Linked DNA regions of Oryctolagus cuniculus. The protein of the gene in region 1 purifies or fractionates together with the protein of each later gene. This does not show direct contact. Links are inferred from orthologs where the notes say so. Each region holds a gene or a part of one and is shown on either strand. Other genes may lie near its edges. The genes, in order: GLI2 and SUFU.

Evidence for each region.
Region 2: the proteins of GLI2 (region 1) and SUFU purify together in Homo sapiens (affinity purification with mass spectrometry; 3 studies listed by BioGRID and IntAct, with this or other methods). This does not show direct contact. The link is inferred for Oryctolagus cuniculus from reciprocal best matches to the Homo sapiens genes GLI2 and SUFU.

Annotation. Positions count from the first base shown.
Region 1 is NC_091434.1:121,129,966-121,134,199, reverse strand, and holds the start of GLI2 (zinc finger protein GLI2), read left to right. Parts: upstream 1-1,171; 5' UTR 1,172-1,310; intron 1,311-1,371; exon of another isoform or gene 1,372-1,510; intron 1,511-4,234. UniProt on the Homo sapiens protein: Functions as a transcription regulator in the hedgehog (Hh) pathway. Functions as a transcriptional activator. May also function as transcriptional repressor. Requires STK36 for full transcriptional activator activity.
Region 2 is NC_091446.1:27,383,149-27,386,946, reverse strand, and holds part of SUFU (suppressor of fused homolog), read left to right. Parts: intron 1-1,970; coding exon 1,971-2,127; intron 2,128-3,798. UniProt on the Homo sapiens protein: Negative regulator in the hedgehog/smoothened signaling pathway. Down-regulates GLI1-mediated transactivation of target genes. Down-regulates GLI2-mediated transactivation of target genes. Part of a corepressor complex that acts on DNA-bound GLI1.

The DNA.
Region 1 (4,234 bases):
AGGGACTTGGGCCATCTTCCACTGTTTTCCCAGGTGCATTAGCAGAGGGCTGGATGGGAAGTGGATCAGTCGGGCTGGAAAGGAGGCAGAGGCTTTACCCCATAAGCCACAGAGTGCCGACTTCCTTTGCCTTTCACAGAACAAGGAGTTGCTGTGGGACGCCTAAGACTCCTGGAGGGTGGCAGCTCGCTGCTCTGATCTCGGGCAGAACTCAGTCTTCCTACCTGAAGAAGGGGGCGAGGGCGCACACACTTTGGGAGCCGCGAAGGTGACGTCACACCAAGGGGCAGCCATCGCTGGGGTCAGGAAAGAAATACACAAAATTCCCCAGCCACTCTTGTGGGAGGCTCCAGTGCCCAGGGGGTGGGGGGAACAGCGGCTGGAGAGCAGGATCCCGCCCGCTGCCCTACCGCTGAGGGGTTGTGCTGGGGACCAAGGACCCAGGGTCCTTCTCTCACAGGCCCCACACACCTCGGCCCCAAGATTCACTGTTTTGTTTTTTCCCCCTTCCTTCTCCCTCTGTTGCTGCTGGGTCCTGATGACTTCCATCTGGCCGCAGGGGCGCGAGTGGAGCCTCTAAAAAAACCAAACCAAACTAAACCCAACCCCTCCCTGAGGAACACATGCACCGGGCCCCCGCGGCTGGGGACGCCGGCAGGACCCCCGGCACCTGCAGGAAGAGTTCCGCGTGGAAGCGGCCCCCGCCCTGCCTCCCTCGGGTCGCAAGCTTCCGCCCCGGAGTCCGTGCACGCGGGGCACGGCGACCTGGGCAGCTGCCGACTGAGGGAAGCGGGCGCGGGTAGCGCGGAGATGGAAAACAGAGCGATTCCCGCGCCTCGGCTCGGCGTTCATCTGACTCGAGTTAGCGTCGTGCCCCACCCCCCAGCCCGGCGCCGGGGAAAAACTTTCCCCGTGGCTGCACCGCGGCCCTCAGCGCTGGGGGGTGTGGGGGGGAACCCCGCCGCCCCTCCCCTCCCTTCCTTCCCCTCCCCTCGCCCCACCCCCACCCCAACGCCCGGCCCCGGGCGCGGTGCGCTGCGCGGCGCCCGCTGTGCCCAGGCCGAGCGCGCGGGGGCGCTGCGCGGTCCGCGCGGCGCTGCTGGATTGCGCGAGTGCGGGCGCTCGCCAGCCGAGGCAGCACGGCTCCGCGGACTTTTTTTCAAACTCCCATCAATGAGACTTCGAGGAGGAGCGCGAGGCGGCGGCGATCGCCGACGCGGAGGAAGGCGACGAAGCGCGGGAGCAGCCGGAGGGAAGAGCGCGAGCCGCGCGGCGCGCCCGAGCCTTGCGGAGCTGCCCGCTTGCTGGCGGTAGGGGCTACCCGGCCCCCGCGCGTCTCGGCTCGGGCCCCTCCCGGGCGCGGCCCAGCCCGGCGCTGCCCGTCTGAGCCGCGGCGCACGGCAGCCCGCGGCGCGCCCTTGCGCCGGCCGAGTTGGGATGGGGACCCGCAGCCGCCGCCCGGCGCCTGAGAGGCCACCTGCGTGCTAGAGGCAAACTTTTGTCTCCCTCGGTAAAGTTGCGTCGGCCTTCTGTGTGGCTCGCTTGTCTTTGCGGAGCGCCGCCTACCCCGGCCGACTGGGATGCTGCGCCGTCTCGAAGGCTCCCTTGGTCGGGGGCCGGCGCCGTGGCGCGGGGACCGGGTACTGGGCTTAGAGGGACTTGCAGACCAGCGGGGGGCGGCCCCGCTTCCTCCCCTGGGGTGGAAGGGGTTTTGGGTGATGGGACTCGTGGCCGAAAGGCGACTTTCCCTACCCGGGGGCAAGCTTCTGTCTTCTCGGTGTGCGCCCGGGCCGGGGGCTGTTGGTGCGGGTGCGAATGAGCGCGGGGCTGGATGTCCACAGCTCGCGTTAGGTGGGCGGCGGGAGCGTGTCGGTGGCAGCGCTGTGCCCAGGGCCCGCGGCGGCCACTTGTACGAACTTCCAACTGCACTTCTCCGCGGCGCGCGTCCCGCAGCCCGGCCTCTCTTTCTTCCTCGCTCCTTCCTCCCCCTCGCTGGGCCCTGTCGCCCCCTCCCCCTCGGCCGGCCTCTCCTCCTTCTCCTCCTCCTCTCCTGCCCTCGGCCCCGAGATCCGCTTGACTTCCCCAAGAGATCCTCACGTAATCCTTGGCCCGACCCGCAGGTCCCCCCCACCCCTCACTTCCATCCCCGCCCCCACCCCCCCATCCCGGGACAGTCTCTCAACAAGTATATTTGCTGAGGAATTTGAAAAATCCACTACTGCAACTTGATCTGTGTGTGATGGATGGGGAGAGGCGCGGGGAGAGTTGGGCGCCAATCCTATTAAGGGTTTAGAGAGGGGAGCGTTTTTCCCCGACGGGGCGGGGGCGGAGGCCGGTGGGGGGAAGGGCGCTCGCGCTCGCGTGCGGGAGTCGGCGGGAGCCACGCCGCAGAGCTCAAGTCCGGCCCGGCCGTTGTGGGTGTCCTTCCCCGGGAAACGCGGCTTTTAGGGCGCGGGGAGCTGCGGGTGGACCCGCGCCTCACCCCGGGTGACCAGAGCGCGCGGGCCTGGGGTCCGCCTTCCGCCTGGATGCCTCTTTTGTGTAGTTACTGCGCGGCTCCCGGAGTGAACCGCAGCGCTTCCCCGCGCGCCTCCCCTGGCTCCCCATCCCGGGCGTCCCGTGCGGAGAGCGAGGCCCGTGTAGTGGGCTTCGGCGCTCAGCGGCCACCGCAGCGTCCTGGGCCTGGGGCCCCGGCGCCCTTGCCGGGCGTGTGAAGGTTTTAATCCCAACAGCTTCAGATCAAGGCAGAGGTCGTAAAACGCTCACGTGCTGTTTGCGGACGGGGCTCTGGGGGCTGGCGGAGAAGTTGAAAGTAAACGTTTCCCTCGCGAGTGGCATAAAATAGTGTTTAAGCAAATATTGTATTGGCATGCTCCGGTTGGGGGGGGGGGGCGGTGCCAGAAAGTAAAGGCAATAAACTGTGAAATCCAAAATATACAGCAGGGGATCGCGGCGCAACAGGCGGGCTTCTGAGCAGCTGGCCTGATGCGAGCTGTTTGCTTTGGCCGCCTTGCCTCCCGGCCGCTCCGTGCCCAGCTCCTTACCTTGCTACTGCTCTCCTGTGCTCCTCCCTGGGGCTGGGAGCTGCCCGTCTTGTGGGTATATGGGGTCGGGAGAGCGAGCACCCTGGCCATGCCTGGCTGCTTTTAAGTTTTGAGGCCTTCTAGACTTTTCCCAGCTTCTGGTCTGTCTTGAAGGTGATCATTTGGAAATGTCCAACCCGAGACCCTGAAGATGCCCCGGCCTGGGGTCTCCCTCCAGCCTTCCTACCCCTTCTTAGGTCTCTGTCTTCATCTTGCCTGCTCTTCTTTTCCTAGGAGTGCGCATCTGTCCTGAGCCGGACAGGAAATTGGGTGGGGGGATGACTCTGGTTTTCAGATCCCACTCAGACTCAACAGTCCAGAAAGTTATCACTCCTCTGGTGGGTCTGGAAGTTAATTATATTTTGTAAGATTGAGGGTGGTTTTGTATTTCCCCTCTGCTTCCAGAAACATGCCAGTTTCAGGAGGCTATTTTGCCATTCATGGGGGAGGGGGTAGGTGGGATTTAAATGAATGCCTGGGAGATCCAGCCCACCTGCCCAGGATGAAGAAGAAGCCTTGTGTTGGTCTTGAGTCTGTGTGAGGGTCGGAGCAGTCCCTTGCAAAGTCAGTTGGCGAGAATGAGAGGGAAAACCAGAGCAAGGCAGGGCTTACCGAGGAACAACGTGGGTTTGTTAAGAGATGTTTTTTTAGCCTTCGTGGGAATTGCCAGGGATTGGCATAGGGTTCCCACTGTTTCGGGAGACTTCCAAGGGGCTCCCAAGCTCACAAGGCTTCACCCTGGTGTGCGTGTGGGGCGATCTGTGGTCTTGGGGCTGGTGGCCTTGGGATGGAGTGCCACTTTCTCAGGGATGTGGCCAGTGTGGGCAGAGCACACAGCAGAGAGGAAATCCTCTGAGTTGCTTGGTCACAAGAGGGGGCCCCAGGGCTGCTGGTCAGCGGCTCCTGACCGGGCTGCGGGGGTCTTGGGGGCTGTGTACTGTAGCGGGCTTGTTTGCATTGCAGACTGAAAAATACACAAATACTTCACGCTTTTTGTACTCCCACAAGTGCCCTGTACACAGTGCAGCCCCCGGGGCTGGATTAGCAAGCCAGAGGATTCAGCAGGCAGGCAGACAAAATTGGATCTTTGCCTAATAAACACCCTTCTTCCATGCGTTCCCCCCCCGCCCATCCCCCCCTCAGCCACCCCA
Region 2 (3,798 bases), on another chromosome or scaffold:
TGGCTCCTGCTCCCCCTCCACCAGTTGCAGGGCAGTGCTGTCTCTGAACCTTTCCTTCTCTAAAGCTCTGGCAGGCCACAGGCAGCTGCCTTCTGGAGCAGGGCAGAGGTGGCAGATGGACACGCTGCCTGCAGTCCCCGGGTTCTCTACTGCACGCCTATGAGGGCTTGGGCATGAATCTTCATTCACAGATGATGCTCCTCTGTCTTCCTAGTGCCTTTAACACTGAAACTTTCAAGTTGTTGCCAACATCCTCTGTTATCTCTGCTTTAAGTTTGGTTTCCTTGTAGCTTCTGCTTATGCAAGAACCAGGAACCATGAAGGCTGAGCCCTTTGTCTGCAGCCTGGTCCTTTGAAATAGTAAGGCAAGCAACTTGTCCTTTGTCTGCATGCTAAGAATAGTTCTCTGTGGTCTGCAGGCTCTCGAGACCAGCCCGCAGGACCCAGAGCACCCAAGTGTCTGTCAAAGCAAGTAGGGAGCCATGGGAGAAGGATGCAGCTTGCTTTCCTAGTCTCTGTGGACCAGGTGTGAACTCCGCTGCGTTCCCTTATGCTGCCCTCAGGCCTGCTTTTGCTGTCAGTCCAGTTTAGAACTGCTCCTGTCCTTCAATCCAAGCTCTGCCACTAACAAGCTGTGTGCCTGACCCAGTCTCCTTATTTCTCTGGCTCTTAACTCTTTCTTTTCATTTATGAAGTAGGTACACTGGACCAGTTTAGCCAGGAGGTATCTAGTCTTAGCTCTTAGCTGGGTAAAGGGCTTCAGGGCAGCCAGTGGAGAGGGAGAAGCCCAGGCTCTCCCCTCAGCAAGAAGGGCTCACCTGCTGCTACCTGGAGGACCCAGAGCCATTCCCTGCTGCTAACCTCTCCCTACCAGAGCCCCAGCGTTGTCCAGGCTGATGGTGACACTGGGAAAGAGGAGGGAGTGCTTGATGGGAAGGAGGTGTCCTAGGCAGGGACACTTGTGATAAGTCCCAACAAATGAGAGCAGTTTCCCCCAGATAGCTCCCTGACTGGCCAGTTTGGTGCCCATGATGCCATAGCAGGGCAAGGGGTGCTGATGAGGGGAGTGGGAGCACACAGCCTTGCTGGCATGCTCAGTCACAGGAGCTTTATTTGGCCCAGATGGCTGTGGATGGGCAGGGTTGCTGGAGCCTTCTAGATGACCTTTAATCTAAAACCCAGCATCTCAGCACTGTATTTTGCCAGAAAATCCAAGGATGTTTTGAGTACGGCTCTTCCTCGAGGCCATTTGGAGAGTGTTTGGACTCAACAGTGCCAAGACCTGCACAGAGGCAGAGCCTCCTGGCAGGGGGTTGGGGGTGGAGTAGGGACACTGTCTATAGTTGGTCACTGTCCTCCAGGCCCTTGTTCGATCTAAGAGATGGAAAAGGAACTCTATCTAGTGTCTTTTGCAAAACAAGTTAGGGGTGGCAGCCAGGAGACACCAGGGCTTCTGCTATTGGGCACATCTCTGTACAGCTGCACCCTCTAGCTGTTGGAAGAGGAACTGCAGACATGGCCTCCCTCACCTGTAGCTGGCTTCCCCTCTGACTGCTGTAGCAGGAAAGAGTTCTTGAAGGATCAGGGAGGAGAGGAGGAAGAGAACCTTCTTCAAGGAAGTGGGTCCTGTCTTTGCCACATCAGCTTCACAGGCCAGCATGGAGTGGGTAGGGTCTGGGCTCTGAAAGAGGAGGGAAAACCATGGTCCTGGAAGGCTGATGGTGGAAAAGCAGCTCCCCTTGGCTTTTCCATTCCTCCTGGTTCCCCTGCAGCAGTGCAGGGGCCGGCAGAGACAGTCGCATGCGGGAACCAGGCAGCGCAGCAGCAGAAGCCTTGCGCTGCATCTGTTGCGTCCTCCTTGGCACCTATGAGGGCTTGACACGTGCTCTAAGCATGGGAGTGGGGAGGGCAGTGGTGACTGTGGGGCCCCAGTTCTCTGAAGGAACTCTGGCTCTTTGGATCTTTTCAAGCAGGAGCGAGTTGACAAAGGCATCGAGACAGACGGCTCTAACCTGAGTGGTGTCAGCGCCAAGTGTGCCTGGGATGACCTGAGCCGGCCCCCCGAGGATGATGAGGACAGCCGGAGCATCTGCATCGGCACACAGCCCCGGAGGCTCTCTGGCAAAGGTGGGGCCATGGCCCGGCCCCGCTCCTCCCCTTTTCCCTCTCCAGGATGAGTCTTTAACGAAAACAGCCTGTTCAATAGTTTCTTTACTGGCCTGAGTTAAGCAGCAAGTAAAGTCTTCCAGCAGGGTGGAATTAAGGGAGCTTTATTGGCCCATTTATAGCTCTTTCCTGCGTGTGTTGCAAATACACCACCAGCAGGGACCATTGTGTTTTACCTTCAGGTCTTGCGATCTAGGGTCACGGATGTGAGTGGAAGCATTAGAACAGTTACAGGAAAAGCCCATAGTCCACCCAAGTACAAGAGAACAAGCACGGCCACCCACAGAATTGACACAGGGCCCAGTTCTGGCCTGAAGACCATGCCAGCCCTGGCGATCAATCATGTGAGGCCCACTTGCAAATGACCCCCCGTCGCACTGTCCTGTAGTTACAGAGTAAGGGGCTGTGGGTGGGGCACCCTGTACCTCTTGAGTTTGCATGAGATTTTGGGAAGGAAGATGAGTGTCCTGTTGGAAGCTCCCTGTGCTGGTCTCAACTGCAGAAACAGTTGTGGCTTTTAGCAGAGGGTATCCCAATATCCCAAGCCAACTCCAAAGGCAAAGCAGCTATTTTGTGTACGTGTGTGTCTGGCTTCTTGGTCTACTTCCTTTCTCTGTTTTTTTTTTTTTTTTTCTGATTTTTTTGAAGAAAAAGATCCCTTCAGCCTTGAATAGCACCTGCCTATGTGCTAACACTTGTGAAAGGTTTTCTCTTTCTGAAAAGGACAACTTAAACCCCTAGTGCAAATATTTGACCATGTTTAATCCCTTTCTTTCCTTCCTGTGTACCACATCTGTGGGAGATTCAGAAAGAGAGCACCCAGTTACCAGAATCATTCTGTTGCTTTTGACAAAAGAGGAAACTTAAGGAGGGATCTATAATATTATCTCAGAATTTAATTGTTCTTGACTAGGTTTTAAAAATTATAAAGGTAACCCATGCCACTGTAGCCAAAAAGAAGCTTGTAACCATCCCCTCCCCACTCTGAGCATGGCCCTTTGAGCACCTGATGTCAGTTTGCTGTGTTGTATGTGTTTACAGTTTGCAGAGTAAGTCTTAGATCAAAATCTGGATGCAGGGGAAAAGATTAGTACACTTTGCCCCAAAGACCACAAAACACCTTACAAGAAATAATCCCACCAAGGGACTCCTTTCTCACCCTAGCTAGCTCATGGGAGGCCCAGTTGCCTGGGACAGACCAAGGAAGGGATATGACCTCAGCATTCCATGACCCCGGCCCTAGAGGAAAGGGCAGCAGGGCCAAACCTTAGGGGACCCCCAAGAACCCAACTGGGAGCCAGGCACCTCCTCCTGGTCTCCGATGTGGGTGTAAGGCTCAAGCACTTGGGCCATCCTCCACTGCCTTCCCGGGCCACAGCAGTGTGCTGCAGAGCAGAGAGCTGGGCTGGAAGAGGAGCAACTGGGACAGAATCCGGCCCCCCAACTGGGACTAGAACCCGGGGTGCTGGCGCCGCAAGTGGAGGATTAGCCTAGTGAGCTGCGGCACCGGCGCCACTTGTCTTCCACGAGAATGGCAGTCCGCAGCCTCTGAGCTCCTGGAGAGCACTGCCTCGTCCACCCTTGATGGTCTGCACTTGCTCCGCCCTCACGTCTGGCTGCCCTGAGCAGGCT